Arabidopsis thaliana: one gene and its partners. The protein of the gene in region 3 purifies or fractionates together with the protein of the main gene of each other region. This does not show direct contact. Each region holds a gene or a part of one and is shown on either strand. Other genes may lie near its edges. The genes, in order: MTO2, IAR4 and MAB1.

Evidence for each region.
Region 1: the proteins of MAB1 (region 3) and MTO2 purify together in Arabidopsis thaliana (affinity purification with mass spectrometry, with the first as the bait; one large-scale study listed by BioGRID). This does not show direct contact.
Region 2: the proteins of MAB1 (region 3) and IAR4 fractionate together in Arabidopsis thaliana (co-fractionation; one large-scale study listed by BioGRID). This does not show direct contact.

What each region holds. Positions count from the first base shown.
Region 1 is NC_003075.7:14,598,474-14,603,008, forward strand, and holds MTO2 (Pyridoxal-5'-phosphate-dependent enzyme family protein), read right to left. Parts: upstream 2,583-4,535; 5' UTR 2,542-2,582; coding exon 961-2,541; 3' UTR 743-960; downstream 1-742. Other genes in the region: VIP3 (Transducin/WD40 repeat-like superfamily protein), read left to right, coding at 58-684; AT4G29850 (transmembrane protein (DUF872)), read right to left, coding at 3,345-3,466, 4,212-4,401. UniProt on the Arabidopsis thaliana protein: Catalyzes the gamma-elimination of phosphate from L-phosphohomoserine and the beta-addition of water to produce L-threonine.
Region 2 is NC_003070.9:8,559,847-8,565,780, forward strand, and holds IAR4 (thiamine diphosphate-binding fold (THDP-binding) superfamily protein), read right to left. Parts: upstream 3,657-5,934; 5' UTR 3,537-3,656; coding exon 2,846-3,536; intron 2,763-2,845; coding exon 2,683-2,762; intron 2,286-2,682; coding exon 2,208-2,285; intron 1,663-2,207; coding exon 1,567-1,662; intron 1,474-1,566; coding exon 1,402-1,473; intron 1,295-1,401; coding exon 1,241-1,294; intron 1,159-1,240; coding exon 1,093-1,158; intron 976-1,092; coding exon 931-975; 3' UTR 574-930; downstream 1-573. Other genes in the region: SNL3 (SIN3-like 3), read right to left, coding at 3,860-3,940, 4,057-4,140, 4,240-4,342, 4,436-4,602, 4,696-4,848, 4,940-5,078, 5,167-5,267, 5,370-5,934. UniProt on the Arabidopsis thaliana protein: The pyruvate dehydrogenase complex catalyzes the overall conversion of pyruvate to acetyl-CoA and CO(2).
Region 3 is NC_003076.8:20,687,022-20,694,262, reverse strand, and holds MAB1 (Transketolase family protein), read right to left. Parts: upstream 5,021-7,241; 5' UTR 4,733-5,020; intron 4,598-4,732; 5' UTR 4,593-4,597; coding exon 4,551-4,592; intron 4,430-4,550; coding exon 4,367-4,429; intron 3,777-4,366; coding exon 3,696-3,776; intron 3,610-3,695; coding exon 3,583-3,609; intron 3,485-3,582; coding exon 3,422-3,484; intron 3,318-3,421; coding exon 3,231-3,317; intron 3,019-3,230; coding exon 2,893-3,018; intron 2,526-2,892; coding exon 2,392-2,525; intron 2,303-2,391; coding exon 2,230-2,302; intron 2,130-2,229; coding exon 2,064-2,129; intron 1,884-2,063; coding exon 1,845-1,883; intron 1,758-1,844; coding exon 1,633-1,757; intron 1,536-1,632; coding exon 1,421-1,535; intron 1,338-1,420; coding exon 1,287-1,337; 3' UTR 793-1,286; downstream 1-792. Other genes in the region: AT5G50860 (Protein kinase superfamily protein), read left to right, coding at 159-485; AT5G50840 (alpha-taxilin-like protein), read right to left, coding at 5,524-5,655, 5,752-5,847, 5,948-6,004, 6,182-6,364, 6,473-6,539, 6,780-6,844. UniProt on the Arabidopsis thaliana protein: The pyruvate dehydrogenase complex catalyzes the overall conversion of pyruvate to acetyl-CoA and CO(2).

The DNA of each region.
Region 1 (4,535 bases), on a different chromosome or scaffold from region 3:
TTCAACATTACTCTTTAGAATGGTGCTCTGCTAACATAGTATTTTACATGTTCCAAGGGTACGATCCTTGCTGTTGCAGGTGGAAGTAGTGCCTCAGTCAAGCTTTGGGACACTGCAAGCTGGAGATTAATCTCAACTCTATCAATCCCACGCCCAGATGCACCAAAACCTTCCGATAAAACCAGCAGCAAGAAATTCGTTCTCTCGGTGGCTTGGTCTCCTAATGGGAAACGACTTGCTTGTGGTTCAATGGATGGTACGATCTGTGTTTTTGATGTTGACCGCTCAAAGCTACTTCACCAGCTAGAAGGTCACAATATGCCTGTAAGGTCCCTTGTGTTCTCCCCTGTAGACCCGAGAGTCCTCTTCTCTGGATCAGATGATGGGCATGTGAACATGCACGATGCAGAAGGGAAAACGCTGTTGGGGTCCATGTCAGGGCACACGAGTTGGGTGCTGAGCGTTGATGCTAGCCCAGACGGTGGAGCCATAGCAACCGGCTCAAGCGATAGAACTGTGAGGCTATGGGATCTTAAAATGAGAGCTGCGATTCAGACAATGAGCAACCACAATGACCAGGTTTGGTCTGTGGCCTTTAGACCACCAGGTGGAACCGGTGTCCGGGCTGGTCGACTTGCTAGTGTCTCTGATGACAAGAGTGTATCGCTCTATGATTACTCATGAACAATTCGGTTTTTTGACTTTTTTCTTTTATGCATTCTCCAAGACGCATCTAGTTGTAACAATATAATCTGCAACAGGTTGATTTTGACCGGAGTCTTTAGATTTATCGCTTACACAAAAAACAAAGAAGATAAAATGATTCAAACTTTGCGATAGAACTTTATTGGAAAACTGAGAAACAGATAAAGATCACAGAGAGATGAGTTGAAGAGTAACGCAAACAAACGTCTAAAAGTTTTCAAAAAACAAAACAGCTAAAGATTATGGTCTTGTCTCTTATGACGTAAGTGTATTACTTCCTAAGTAACTCTTGAGAACATCCATGACAGCTCCGAAATCTGCTTTCACATCAACAGGAGGATTGGAGAATCTGCAAGCCATGTCAGGGATGGCATTGGAGTGATAATCTATCTTAGACTGAGTAAACTTCAACCCATGAGCAGTACTCACTACCACAGTTCGATCAGTCGGTGCAATCACTCCTTGATTCCTCAGCTTGAACAGAGCAGTTAGAGCAACACCTGTATGAGGACAGATAAACATTCCTGTCGAATCCGCTTGAGCCATCGCATCCATCAGCTCCTCCTCTGTGGCTTCTTCTACAATACCATTGCACTTCTTGAGAGCGTACACAGCTCTATCGATGGAGACAGGGTCACCGATCTGAATCGCAGAGGCGAAAGTGGTACTTGCAGTCATGGGCTTGAAGTCCTTCCAACCAGACTTGTAGTGCAAGTAAAGAGGATTAGCATTAGCTGCTTGTGCACAGACCATCCTCGGGATCCTATCGACAAGTCCCAGTTCTTGACACATCTTAAACCCTTTGTAAAAGGCATAGATGTTTCCTAGGTTACCTCCAGGAACAATCACCCAATCAGGAACTTGCCAATCAAACTGCTGCAAAATCTCAATAGCTGCAGTTTTCTGCCCTTCTAACCTCAAACTATTCAACGAATTCGCCAAATAAATCGGCAATTCCGCAGTTATCTCTCTAATCAGCTTCATACACCCATCAAAATCAGTGTCAATACTCAAAACAAACGCACCATTAGCTATCGGCTGAACCAGCTGAGCCATAGAGATCTTGTTCGCCGGTAAAAACACAATCGATGGGATTCCAGCGGAGGCGCAGTAAGCAGATAGAGCAGCAGAAGTATCTCCGGTGGAAGCACATCCGACACCAACCACAGGTCGTTTCATCTTTCTCAGACGATTAACTTGACTAACCAAAACAGTCATTCCAAGATCCTTGAAACTTCCTGTATGACTAATCCCACAGTGTTTCACCCACAGATCATTCATACCTAGAAACTGCTTACCAAATCTCTCTGCCCAGAACAGATTCGAGTTTCCTTCAAAAGCTGAAACGATGTCGTCGTCATCGATCTCAGGAAGAACCCACTCTTTCTTCGACCAAACACCCGATCCATAAGGCCATGTGCTTTTACCAACACGCGAATCGAAGAGATCACGCCAATACGCGCCATCGAATCGCTTCAAAGCCTCCATATCGTGTTCGACATCAAGCAAACCACCGGAGCGGCTACGGTACACGATCTCGTCGAGAGAGTAAGACTCCGTGGATCCAGGAGCTGCATTAAACGGAACGTATTTAGCTGAAAATGGATTCACGGCGTTGGAACGATTACGACGAGCCTCATCTCGAATGTTATCCTCGGTACGGTGAGGAGGCTTGACCGCTGTCTCGATCGGGGCTTTGATGTTGTTGCCATCGGCGGTACAGGAGATGACGACGGGGCGGTGGCGGAGGAGAGAGGTTGACCGGTGGCGGCGGATGGGGTCTTGTTTAGGGTTTAAGGACGATACAGAGGCATTGAAGAGACAAGACGAAGCCATTTTTTCTAGAGAATGAGAAGTGAGATGCGGCTGAGGATTTTGAGGAGAGGACACGAGTGAGAGAGAGAGAAAACTATATTCAGATACTTAAACCGGAAATGTCTTAGAACCGGCTAGTCGGTTTAAGCTTTTAGGTTAATTGGGATTATGTATGTGACGTAGAGAGATATTTTGGGCCCATTAATCATTCAAATATCTGGATCGCTTTCCGTATATAGCAATTGAATATTTATGTTTTGTCACGTTTTGCTTTAAACAGGCTAATAAAGTGCATGTTATAAGGAACATTCATGTTGATGACAAAAAGATAAAAGGTTACATTTGACCCAAAGAAAACAATAATGTTGAACATAAAAATTCACATAAGAATCACGTTTTAATTTTGATATAACACCAATACACCATCATGATATAGATTGAAACTCTAGTAGTAACAATGTGTAAGTTGGCCAAATTTGTAATCAATTAAATACTGCATCCAGAGGAATTTGATGGAAAATGAACAATTACATCTGAAAGCAACATGTGAACACTCCAAGTATCCCATATTACTTGGTTCGAATTGGAAATCTTTATAGAAACAAATATCAATTTGAACCGGGTGTATATTTATAGATATGTAAGTATAAATCTGACTAAACTGTCACAGACTCGAATTTATTTGACAAGAAGAAGGAGAAAGTAAGAAAGGACTGGACTCAAATTCTATAAAACTACACAAAAGAGAAAACAAGTCAATCATTGCTATAGAGTAATAAAACATCTCTATACATTTTGAGTAGGAGAGATTCAAAAGGGGACACCTAAACGGGCGGTATGTTTGAGAAGGAGAAACCTTTGTATCCTTTGTAAGCATAATACGCAATCCGTGTATAGTAAAACCCGGGAATGAACAGAAGACACCCGAGGACGATGAAGAAAATCCCTGGTTTCACCATCAAAAATATCAAACAGAGAATGATAGGTCATTGATGCAATGATGAGAAAGAAGTAGTTCCGGCAAAACGGAAGAAAACAGCAAATCAAATGAAATCAAGTTTAAGTACAATGCTGATACTTGCTTTCGCTTTGCAGTATTGCATTGGGGATGTATGAAATGCATTAATGAATTACAAGCCCAGAGGAAGAAGAGCAAACTAGCTAATTTGAAGTGAATCTCATGTCTATGTTACAAGCAGAATTGGGATATATCAATAACAGTATGTGATGATAGTGATCTAAAAAGTTAATGGAATCCAACGGAGATCCTTCCCTTTTTTATCTCACAGATAAGAGAAGCTTAGAATCATCATATACTAGTTTCTATCGGAAGTTTACTAATCATTCTAACAATGAAATCAAATCGTATGCCTTTGGAAAACTTGTGTCTATTCATCCAAATCTCCAGAAAACAGAGAGCAAAAGGCCAAGCTGAAACGAAATTACACTCCACCGTAGCTAACCAGAGCACTTGCAATCTATATCTATCAGCTTAATTACCAAAATTATAACATAACTTCACCAAATCTAAAAAAATTCCTAAAACAATCTAGCTGAAATCAATTACTGTTTTCTAAATCTCTCAAACTAGCAAAGATAAGTCCCACATATTCTCTCATGAATTCCCAATTTCTACTCCAAGACTGGATCAATAAATGTGGAATAAGTAAGAAAGGTGAAGAAATCGCTACCGTGGCCTCGATCACCGCCAACTCGATTATAAGCCATGAAGAAACCGGAGACAATTCCTAGGGTTCCGAACACGAGTAAAGCCACCGCGAGTGCGATCTCCTTCACCGGCGGTCGGTTATTGACGGTGTATGAAGTCTCAATCATAATGTCCTCGTCCGTTATCGAGAACGCATGGTCGACGTACGCCATTTTACACAGCTTCCGGATCAAAGATCAATGGGAAACAATCAGGACCGATCTAGAAGAAAGCAGAATGACGATTGATCTAGAGCTCGAGAAAGATGAAATCGTACTGTTTGAATTTTAGGTCTTCAGATGTTATG
Region 2 (5,934 bases), on a different chromosome or scaffold from region 3:
TCCCGTTGGGTAGTGCAGCTCATGGTCAGACGTAACATCTTATTATATGAATAACATTTTCAATAATACCATTCATGTATCACTTTCTCGAGTTTTTCTTAAGGACTTTTTCTCGGATATGAGAAGAGAACACGATGAAGATTCCGTTGAACATATTTGATTTGATGATATAGAGAGAATATTCTTGAATAAGTTAAAACACTGAACACTATATAATATATAAACTTGTTACTTGTCAAACTAATTATTTACCGAGTAAAAAACTAAGCAAAGGTTTGTTTGGTTTCTATTGGCTTACAGAGAGAACCAAATGCTTGGTTAACAAAGGAAAAAGCAATCAATCATCAATGTTCTTTTGTAGTGATTAGTTGTTGCAAGAAATCTAATCTAATTTAAGTATTAAGAAAGAGAGTGAGTGGCGTCATAGAGTTTACCTATTCAATAAGATTTGGTGTTGATGTGGGGGATGATGAGAAAGGGACTTGTAGAGTAGAAGCAAAGATTATTCAAGTTAGGTGGTGGAGACATAACTATTCATGTGGTTTTATTGGTACCGACGCAGAAGTTGGTTTTGCCTTTTTATTTTTATATATATTAGATAACGAATTTAACACGGGGTCTTGATGATTTTGTAATCACATGTCGACATTTTTCTACTTGAGACAAAGAAGCTGATGATCTTTCTCTTAACTACTCTCTGCTTATTTCTCTAACTTTATCTCACAGAGTGATATCCGAAGCTTCTTTTGCTTGGTGTCAAATTGAAGTGTGGGAAACAAAAGTTGGCAAACTGGTGAAGCAATGGCTTTACACTTGAAATGAAAATACAAAAAAAAAAAACCAGAAATATTTTTGGTAGCAAGTTAAAAAGATTTGTGTAGCCTTGCCTTCTGATTTATTGAACCAATCATCTCCTTGGGAAGCAAGATTCTATGGAAGTGTTACTTTGAGTTCTTTTCTGTCTGCTCCAAACGACTGCAAATTTCAATGGAGGAAAATGCGTAAATCTCTAGATTCATATGCCAACAACTACCAACGCCACAGGGTTACAAAAGAAATAAATAGATGTGAAAGAGTGGGATGTGATAGTACCTCAACTCCGCAGTCTTTCACGTACATGTTTGTGAATAGCTCAGATGCATCTGGTATCGGGCTCTCCTGAAACAAGTTAAACAGCAAGGAATTAGTTCGTGTTTTGATAAATAACAAGGACAAAGATAGAAACAATTAAGATTATTACCTTGGCCTGAGCTACGGCGTCATCTACTTCTTTCCTTATCTCTTTCTCCATGTCCTTTAATGTCAAAAGAATTTTGTCATTTCCATAGTCAAGTTTGATGGTTGTATGTATAATTTTTTTCAAGCTTTTTGTCTGGAATGGGAAGGTGGTGAACAGGGTACCTTAAGCTCTTTTTCGGTAGCTATGTCATGAGTTAAGAGCAACTTTCGCACCCTTTCAATTGGATCACGCACCTAAAGGTAACACCGATGAAAACTTTACAGATTAAAAAGTTTCAAATTGCATATGGTTGGAGCAGTAGTCTTACAAATGAACAAAGAACTAACCTGTCTCACGCCAGAGATTTCATCACGAGTACGGTAAGTGCTTCCTGGGTCAGACATAGAGTGACCGTGGTATCTGTAAGTGTCCATCTCAAGGATCTGCGCAAATAATGGCAATGGTATGTTGGTCATAATCACTAGGTAGAGAATGGATTATAAAAATACGATAAATGTCAACGCTATGTGATTGAATTCACAAGATCCAAAATGCTTGTCCCATTTGTGTTGGTGACAAAATGCAAAAAAGGAAAATTGGTTGGAAGCTGAAGTCAACATGGTATAATTTCACTTCATAAGTAGGTACACACCAAAAACTCCAAGAGATATTAGTGATATCTACTTATCTAGTACTTTTAATAGAAATCCTAGGAGCTTGTCAATCACGCCTGTCACACTCTCCCGGAAACAGCAAACAAATTAACAACATAGGTACTTAAGAAGTCTTGTTTTCTCCAAATAAACCTCGTTCAATCCAAATCTAGGCTAGGTAGAAGTTACCAGCTAACCATTCTCCCCAACCAAAGTAGCATCACACATGCAAGTAATAAATGATTCTACGAATTCTTAATTTGCATAAAATGCTAAGAGTCATATTGATTAGGTATCGATTTCATAAAACCAACAGGAGCAGCTGTAATACTTACAATAGGACCATTCTTGAGAGCATGCTCCTTGGCAAACTTGCACGCCTGTTTCACAGCCAGTGCATCCATACCATCCACCTAGAAAACAAAGCAAAAGATAATCATTCGTTAGCTTTAAGTTCACACTCTCACCAATCAGAAAAACAACGGATACAATTCTATTGGGTAAAGTAATAAAAAACTGAAGCAACTTCTGTAAAACAACAAAGATAGAGACTTTGGAGACAATTCCTTTTGGTAGTTCTCACAAAGTTACACTTGATCCGAACACACAACTGTGAAGGTTTGTCCTTTCTCATTCAATTTGTGTCTAAAACCCTATCCTCACTACCTAGCTGTTCCATAGTCGACCCAGTGGTCTAAAACACACAAGGAAACCCTGTATCAACTAAAAGCGTGCTATAGACAACTCAGTCTCATCAAAGCAAAAGCATTGTAAAGCTCAAGATCATGCCAAAAGACAACTCAGTCTCACCTTCAAGCCAGGAACATAATCTCCACGCTTGAAATAAGCCGGAGACTTAGCCGACCTCCATGTAGCCGTTCCCATTCCATCTAAACATCAAACAATCCAAATCAACACAAAAGTCTCAACAATTCCACCAAACAAATTACAATTAACCAAAAAATAAACTCACAATGGTTATTCTCGCAAACAAGAATCGCAGGCAAATCCCACAAAGCCGAAATGTTCAAGGCCTCAAACAACTGTCCCTGATTCGCAGCACCATCACCATACAAAGCAAAAGTCACAGCCTCATCCTTATTATACTTCTGAGCAAAAGCCAAACCACATCCCAATGGAATCTGAGCACCAACAATCCCATGTCCACCATAAAAGGAAGCATCTTTCTTATAGAAATGCATAGATCCTCCTTTACCATGAGAACAACCAGTTTTTCTCCCCATAAGCTCAGAGAAAGCATCAACAAGCTTCCCACCACGACCAATGAAAGTACAGTGATCACGATACGATGTGATAATCGCATCTTTTTTGGTAATCGCCGCTTCCATTCCCACCGCTAAAGCCTCTTGACCATCGTACAAATGACAGAACCCACGGATCAGCTTCGCCTTGTAAAGAGAATCTGCTGCGATCTCCATCCTCCTCATCCGAGCCATGTCACGGAAAAAGGCTAAGATCTCCTCCGATGAAGTCTCGACGGAGCGTGACGGTGATTCACATAGATGCGATGTGAAAGGGACGGCGGTTTCGATTGTGATCGGTGATGAGTCTGTGGAAACATGACGGCGGATGGAGGAGGGCAAGGCGGTAATCGCCGGCTTTAGGAAAGTGTTGGATCGTGAAGAAAGTCGTGATAACGCCATCGCCGAAGCTCTCCGATTTGCTTTTAGAAATTCTCTTTTTTGCAGTCAAAAATCGAATCTTTTTAAAGTGAGGGAAAGAGTTAGGAGAGGGCGAAGCGTCGTTTATGGAAAAGGTCAAACCTTTTATGGTCATTTGACTCATTTCTATATAACATACCATAACAAAATGAAATTTTTGATAAATGTTACAACAACATACAAAACTTTACAACAAGAGAGTGAATAAAGACAAACTTTACATATGTAACATCATTTTTGTGAGTGATTGTTTTCTTTTTCAGTCACAGACAACAAAAAGCCAAATCCTTTGTTGCTTCTTCTTCTTATGAAGATAGAGAATGCAGTTTGGCTCTATCCGGTGAAGTCAACAATGGAGAATTGCCACTTTTGTTTTTGTTTTGTCTCTGTTAAGTTGGAGAGTGAATGAACAAGTTGAGTTGATTTGGTATCCTTCTTCCAGATTGTTACAGGCTGGTCACAAGAAGTTATTTTTGTAATATTGTAACCTCATTTGCCTTACCCAAGAATCCTGATTGTGGCACAAAGTTTTTCTTCTCTTTTTAACTCGCACCAACAAATCTTCTGTTTCTAGTACATAGGAGACCTGCAAGAGATTTTCAAGAACGTGCTTTCAAGTGCTGGTCTCTCATGGATATACTCATAAGCGGTAAGCGTGATATAGGGAAGAAGATAAAAGTGTTACCTTTGAAGAACCGCAAGCTATCTTACACTCCAAACCATTTTTGATCTTAACTTCATCTGTGCTGTATAACTGTTCATCTTCACGACAAACTTTGCGCTTGTTCCTGGAGAAAACGAAAAATGGCATTGGCTTTGATGAGTGACCCACTAGGTTTCAGAGATCAAGGGACAGTCATTTGTTCATGTTTTACATTTACCTATTTAAATAGATTCTGCGATCCTCCCTTGCATTTGGTTGTATGGAGAGGAAGTCATTGTGGAGATAAGCTGCAAAGGTCGGGTCAATGGATACAGATGTCACATCGGGCTTATCAAGACCGTTGCACATAAGCTGAATAGAGAGTTTCGCTGGGGTTGATAATCTCTGCATACACATGAGGTTTTGGAGTCCAAAAGCATGATCAGCAGTGCATCGACAGAATATAAGTAGCTAATGTAAGATGCAGCAAAAACTTACACATTCAATACGGTAAATATTCTCATCAGGGAGGAGGACACGGGTATTATCGTAATACACAGCATCAAAAATCGTTTCAGGCCTTCTGGATTTCTCATAAAAATAAAGCTGAAGAAGCTTGTTGTCCATCTCATCAGCTACTACTACTTGTAGCTGAAGAATGACCACACGTATGTTAGTAAAAAGCAAGTAAAGATAGAGAGGTGAATACATAGAGAAAACATCAAAGAGCAAAAATACTCACATGCTTGATGAATTTATGGATCAGTTTGTCCAATGTGAAGAGAATATAAGACTGAGTCCCGATTATCGCTCGGCAGTCATCTTCAAACTTGGCATTATCAGATGTACCATCAAGTAAGTTGTAGAGTGCAGTCATGAATCTGTTCCACATTAATTAAAGTTATAAGTATGGAGCACATATGAATCCCAGAAACACACACAATCTCTGCAATAAAAAGCAAATTTCACCTAGCATAGGAATCAGTAGGATTTTTGGTATTTGAGGTCCTCCACTTTCCTTCCGGGGATGATGAGTTAACTTTTGCTGATAGTATTCTCTCATACAATATCTGTCAAGAGTAATAGCGTAAAGTTAGCTAGTGAAAACTCTTTGTACTTTAGATTATACTGTTTATAATTTTTTCAAACTGTATATGATCTTTAGCTCTTACCCGGTGCAGCCTGAAAAGCACGTAAAACGAATCATTTCCATAGAAAACTTGGGAGTTCTTCAGAGAGTCTTTGTCCTTGTCATGCAAAGCTATAGCTGAAGGAACATACTTTACTAAGGGCTTTACATGCAGCAAGAATCGTGCTGAAACGGGTAAGGCAGACCCATTTTCTTCAGCATCATGTGCATCAGCCATACATTCAGCCTCACCTTCGCTTTCTCCTTTGTTATTGTTATCCAAATCATCCTCCGGATCTTCACCACCACCAGATTCCGTTCCAGAAACATCACCGTTCTCATATTCATTTCTGCTGTCCTCTGATGATCTTGCGGCGTTTTCGTCACCTTCAGCGTCATTCTCAGCCCTTGTCTCCAGACAAGATGGTTCCCCTTCTCTACTTCTATCTCCGCTAATGTTATTTCCAGTACTATCATTCGCTTTGCTGAAGGTCTCAAAATCAGTTTTTGCATAAACTGCAAAATTATCTTCCTCAAAGTCTCCATTTGGAGAAAGTTCACCTTCTTCTCTTTCAACTTTGGATGTTCCTGCCATCTCTTGGTCACTT
Region 3 (7,241 bases):
ACTAGTTTTAGTCACACTGCTTGCATCAAGTTATTGAGAATACATGCATATGCATAGGCTTATAGATCAGCTATACATGTCAATTATCTAGCATGGTATTTTTTCGTTCCAATGCAGAAGATTCTGTAATATTGCCCCTTGCTAATGTGTGTTTGCAGAGATGGAGATCGATATCACAAACAAATGGAAAGAGCAAGAGTGAGAAGTTTCCGCCTCCTCACCAGGACGGTGCAGTTGGGTACCCATTGGAAGATCTATCAAAGAAAACCTCAGTATTTGGTGCAAAGACTGAGACTTCTTTTGGGTTATCGAGATCATTAAAGTCTGGGGAAGGGACATCAATGAGAAAGATTTCAAACAAAGACGGGGCTCGTGGGGCTTCTTCTAGAAAGTACATATGGGGACTTAAACCTCCTCCAGCACTCGGGCTATCGATGGACTTACTTTTCAGGAGCAGATCAGAAGTTTTTGGGATCCGGAGATAGGAAAGATGATTGAGAAATGAGTTGGAGTTATATTAGTGCATCAAAATAAGAGATTGCTTCCGTTTCAAGAGAGAATGGTTGAAGGAGTTCAAATTCTTTGTAGCAGAATAGAGTGCACAAATAGAAAATGTGATTTTGACTCTGATGTAAAAACATAATTCAGGTAGCTTTAGAATCCTACTTTTAAATTGTATAGTTTTTGAAATGGATTTTGAGGCTTCCAAGATTGGTCTTGTGATAAGAGTGTTGCTAAAAATTGTCGTGAATAGATGTTCAAACATTTTGATTGCTGCTTCAAATATTGGAACTTGTTTAAATTCGTTTTCATCAACATTTTTTTTCCACACCAAAGCTTTTTCCTTTTTTATCCATAGGTTGATCAATAGCGTTTAAATCAAATTACAATTATATCACCAAAAGTATATGCTAAACGTCATTGGAGGTTAACTCACTAATACCGTTTTCAAAAATAATAATACGAGAATAAAAGAATATCAGACATGAATTAGGCACACCTCATTCATTATTTGATGGAAAAACAGGTGTTGTGAACTCCTTTACTAGCATTCTCGATCAATTTTTATCAATTAACCCCAAAGATTAGAATTATCAATTTGGGAAGGGACAAAAAGAAAAACGAAAACCGCTGCAGTAAAGAATAATAGCAAAAGATGAAATAAATCACGAGGAATGGTGGTTTCTTATAGCAAAAGTGAGAGACAGAGAGATCATTTTTCTCCTTTTTTCTTATTTTCCTTTCCCTTTAAAGATCAAAGAAGAAATGTGTTGATGTTGACGATTTTATTTCGATCTGTAACAAGCTCTCTTTGATGCACGAACGATGTCCTCTATCTGCAGAATCATTTCATCTCAAATTCATTAATAACAGACAAAATTGAACCAAGTTTTCGATGCAAAGAAGGGACAAAACAAACCTGAGGAAGAGCCAATCTCTCTAGGTTAGCTGCATACGGCATTGGAACATCAGCTCCTGCAATCCTCTCGACCGGTGCATCCAAGTACGAAAAGCTCTCTTCTACAACCGACGCACTGATCCATTACGGAAAAAGTTTAATCCGTGTTTTAAAACTATTATACAATCCAGGTGATAATAAGATCTCTATTGAATTAAGGAATTGAAGTTAACCAAATTTCTGCACAGACTCCATGTTGTGGGAAACCTTCTTCAACTGTTACCAATCTACTCGTTTTCCTCACTGAAGCATTGATGGTGGCTCGGTCAAGCGGACGGATTGATCGAAGATTTATTACCTAAGCATTTTAACAAAGAAAAAAGTTCAGAGTTCACGTATCAGATTTAAGCAGGTTTACAAGAGAGAAATCTAAAAATCTTCATACCTCAGCACTTATTCCCTCTTCTGCGAGCTTCTCAGCTGCCTAGAATCAGGTACATTAAATAAATAATTCAAAGACGGAACAAAGAGAAACACCAGTTTGTAAAAACAAAGCATGTGAGGCAAAACAACATCCAAAAGGAATATTTGAGCTATAGCCATAAAACTAGCAAGAACGTTCTCAGTTTTAATTACTAAAAGGAAAGTGGAGGAAATGGCAAACCTTGAGGGCGAAACCGACCATCTTCGAGAAAGTTACTATCGTTACGTCCTTTCCTTCTCGTTCAATCTGTTATAGGCAAAGACAACATTAAAGCATCCAACTGCTAGATAGAAGAAAGATGAAAGAGACACATAAGAAGAAGACAATAGATACTGAGTGACAGTACCTTGGCTTTGCCTATGGGAAGACAGAAACTTGAATCAAGGGCTTCTTCTGAAATAGGGAATGATTCACCATATCTGCATGATGAAATCAATTTAAGGAGGTACTGATATGAGACCGTAGGCTCTAATCACATGCAAGAACTCAAATTAGGAATACTACTTACAGTAACTCGTTTTCAAGGAAGACAACAGGGTCAGGGTCTCTAATGGCAGCTTTAAGAAGACCACGAGCATCTTCAGCTGAATACGGAGCAAGGACTTTCAAACCAGGAACTGAGGCATACCACGCTGCATAGCACTACAAGATATAGAAGAAAAGCTCCATTTAACATCGAGATACAGTTACAAGGCCACAAGCAGTCATAAACACAGATAACTTGTGTATCCTTGAACTGATCATATTAAACATTCTACGCCCCACAGAGTCATAGTTTCATGTGTGTGTAATCTTACTTAGAGAAACAGTTGCATGCTACTGTGATAGGAACCTTTATCTTAATCAATCAGTCAATGCCTCAATTATTTAGGGGAAATTTGATCAATGTTAAAGTAAAAGCCAGCTCCATCATCCTATATGAATATCTTTATCAGTTTAGTAGCTGAAGGTCTCTTTTGAAAGAATGCAAAGTAACAAATTATTCAATTTTTTTTGGGTGAGCGTTTACCTGAGAATGTTGAGCTCCAACACCAGCAGCAGCACCATTGGGTCCTCTAAAGACGATGGGTACATTTATCTGTCCAGCAGACATGTAATTTGACTTTGCAGCGGAATTGATGATATGATCAATTGCCTGAAAGAAGATTACTAGATATTAGGATACACATTGGGAAATAATTAGAACTTTAGTGCACTTTAATGTCCGAAAGAAGATAAAGTGTACGATAACTGGAAACATATTGCACCAGAGTGCATGATCTGAGTAACGCAACAATTATGCATAATCAAGTCAAAGAAAGAGGCAAAATGTAGTATTCAAAGAATATAACAAAAACCAACGCTAACCTGCATAGAGAAGTTAAACGTCATAAATTCTACAACGGGCTTTAAGCCAGCATAGGCAGCACCAACTCCAATTCCAGTAAATCCAGCCTAAAACATGGTTAAACGATAACTGTCAGAAATCTTCTCAATCAAGAAACATGGAAATAAGGATTGAGACTGCAGTACAAGATAATAGTATAAGAATTCCAAACCTCAGTAATAGGGGTATCGTAAACTCTCTCAGGACCATATTTCTCCAAAAGGCCTTTAGTGATCTATGAGTACATGATAGACCTCCAGCATCAGATCAGGGTCAAAACAAGAGAAATTTAACTGGAAAATATCTATTTCCATCAGGTCAAATAATTCTAACCTTGTAGGCACCTTGATATTGGCCAACCTACAATAACAAGATAAAAGATGAGATATTGATATCTGATTAGAAATTGCAAGATGAATTTATCAAACATGTTAGCTGCAACTAACCTCTTCACCCATGACAAATACTTTAGGATCAGCAGACATTTCCTCATCAATTGCAGAATTTAGAGCATCTCTGACTGTCATCTAAACAATGATTTGCACAAAAAATTGTAAGCAATATTACAATATTTTGGGAAATTCCACATACAAGGAGAAATATGTTTGACAAATATTAACAAAGACTGACGGCCGTATCAGCTTTATCAACTATATGAAAAAAAAATTGGGTTCTCGAAACGTAAATTAAAATCTAACTTAAGCTACACTTGTTGGGATTCTAAATGTCACTACACTATTTATGTGAGTCAGCTATCAATCCACCATTTTCAATGTCAGAACTAATGAGAGAAAGCTAATAGGCTTAAACATCTATGCAATGATTATCGACCCTTGCGCTTCTTGGATGCTCACAGTTTACAAAATCAAAAAACATCCAATATAGCTAAACTCGACATTTCGGTGAACACAAAAAAAAAAGTAATCGACATAGTTTGCAGAAGACAACATTAAGCTATCATCCAAAGAAAAAGTTTAGAGTAGAAAAGTGGTTTGGCAGACATTAACAGCTCTAATCATCCTAAATTGACCACAATTATCTTCCAATAGCTCATTAAAACCAAACCTGTATAATAACGCTTCTAAACCATCCGAAAATTCAATAAAAGACATTTTACCTCTTTTGCACCAGCTGCATAGCTCCTAGCAGAAACCAATGCGAATCGCGTCCTCCTAAGAGTCTGATCAAAAACCAAATTTCGAAAATCAGAAAACAAAATCCGAACCTAAAAATCTCCCAAGTAAAAATCTCAAAATCGTAATCGCACTGAAACAAATAAAAGGAGTAAAAAAGTCTCATACCGAAGCTCCATCGATGGCTCTTTGCCTCAAGATTCCCAACATTCTCTCTGATTAACAAACAAAAAGCAACAGTAATCGCAGGATCAAAAGCCCCGTAGATCTAACAATCATCGGAAATTGAATAGAGAAATCATAAATCCGGAGAAACAGAGTAGATCAACATCGGAGATAGATTTGATTACCTGAGCTTTGTACGATCTAACCACGCCGGCGAAAAAGTGAGAGACGGCGGATTAAGAAGAGAGCAGATACGACTCAAAGCGTGAGCGAAAGGGCACTGTTTTTTTGTTGTTGTTCTAAAACACAACGAAATGATTTCAATTAGCTGAATAAATGAGAGAGTAGGTCTTCTTCATCGAATTGTACAGGAGCCGTCCGATTAATATCTGCTGGTCATGATCGATGGTTGACATTTCGTTATATACTTTTTCTTTTCCAATATTATATTATTCCATTTGATGTTGTTGAAGTTTGTAAAGGAAAGTGGATGTGACCAAATTTAATTTGACGTTATACTTATTTTAATTCAGAGAGATTCGCTTTTTTTAACTAACCGAATCCATAAAGATGCAAACCGAATCATAATCCATATCGGTTTAACTTTTCTTCGGTTCAAATGGTTCGGTTCGGTTTGGTTTAAGATTGCAAAGAATCAGCTGGTCATTATGGCAGATGTTGAAGTAGCTATTCTTCTCCAAATCGGTTGTGAACTTAGTGAATGCAGAATCATTCTCTTGTGAACCTGGAGATTTGCAGAAGCTGCAGCTGAATTAACTATTATCAATTTGCATTTTGTGAGATAAAATGGACTTAGCTCGCAAAAGAGCAGAATCAATATGATGTGATATGTTTCTACATTTTAAAGTGAATTTGGAGTCTAATTGTAGTTTTGTAATCTGAAGTGCTAATTAGTTCAAAACTCTGACAAAGAAAAAAAGAGAGCAAAACACTGAATTCATAGTCTCTCTCTGTTTCATGGTTGAACAGCAGAATCAGTACTGTTAGTTTCTTTCTGTTTTCTTTCAGCTTGAAGGGATCTGCAAAGTGATTCAAGCTTGTCTTTCTGTTTCTTTGTCTTCTCCAACAGTTTCTTCAATCTTTCACGCTGTTCAAGGTCAACCAAAAGTGTGATTTTACTGGTTTCATAACCAAAATCTACAAACCCTTAAAGATAGTGAGAGAACAGACGGTTTTGTTTTACCTCTTCGACGAGTTCTATGAGAGTGATATCCGACTTCTCAGTTTTGTTTTTCAAGAATGCGTTTTCTTTTCTGAGTTCTTTGATTGCTTTTGACATCTACTCAAAAAACCAATAGAGACAGGATCAAGTTAATAAGATCACATAAATAGCACTTATGATCTTTCAAAGAACCTCGAAGGTATAAAACTGTTATTACCTTATCGATTTCTTGTTTGAATGTTTCAAACACCTCATTGCTCTTAACCAACGCGTCCTGCATAACCAAACAGCCTTTCACTTTACAGTCTTTTCATATAATATCAGTAAAAAACATATCTTAAGAGAGTATTGTATCACACCCAAAGCAAGCAATCTTATTATCTGTGATCACAGTGCATCGAGAAAACGATTAAGACTTATTTAGGAAGTGTAAAAGGGGAAGAGAGCAGACCTGGAACTGCTGGAATTTATCTCCATCAGAAGTCAGCTGCAACCGCAAATTTTTCTCAGTAGACAAAAGCTGAGAAACTTGATCTGCGTAAACTTTCATCTGAGATTGTTCATGGATGAGTTTCTCCTCGTGCTGTTTAATTTTTAAAGCAGAGATCTGTAGCTCAAGTGTTTTCTGCTTCAACTGTCCATTCGAAAATGAGATGTTGTCAAGTAGACATCGCAGTTAAGCCAATTATTTTGGCTAAATCATGCTTCATATATAGTTGGAAAAAACGAATAATTTAATTACCCTTTGCTCATGTTGTTGTTCTGAAAGCATAAATTGATCAGCCAGGTGCTTCAACTTCGTCCTTAACCTGGAGATTAAGAAACAAACCCATTGTAATTAGAATGGACCTTTATAATATGTTACTGAGCTGATACAAGCAAAGCCGTTTTAAAAGCAATACACATGTAAGAATATAGTTTCCAGAATGTGGGCGAGCATATTCATACTGTATTAACTTAAACTGCAACAAAACTATACATATATAATAAACATACTATAATTTTCCTACTCCAAATGAACATGTTATGATTGAGTTCTTTCCGCTTACATCTCATTTTCTTTGAGTTGCGTGAGGCTTTCATTCTTTTGCTCGTCCAACTTAATGCTCACATCCTATAAACAAAAGAGGATTAGGAAGGTAGAGAGCATAAGAAAAAAATCAATCAAATAAATTCTGATTTTGTTTTTGTAAGTTTTTGATGTTGCAAAAGCCTGCAAGCAATTCATCAAACTTAGTTCTATCAATCTGTAACTTGAAACCAATATGGACAATTTTCTACTTTGTTTAGTTCCAATTATTTCCAAGGACTAAATTTTAGTGTAGATCGGTACTAACATTTGCCAATGTCAGTGTAGAGAGTTTCAGAAAGAAGAAAAAGATATTGCCATGACTGTCCAAAGCATATAGCACGGAAGATTAAAGGAGATAATATCCTAAGAAAATATAACAAGGATCAATAAATGATGTGCATTTAAGATTTGCATACTTAGAAACACAAAACAAAGCTAT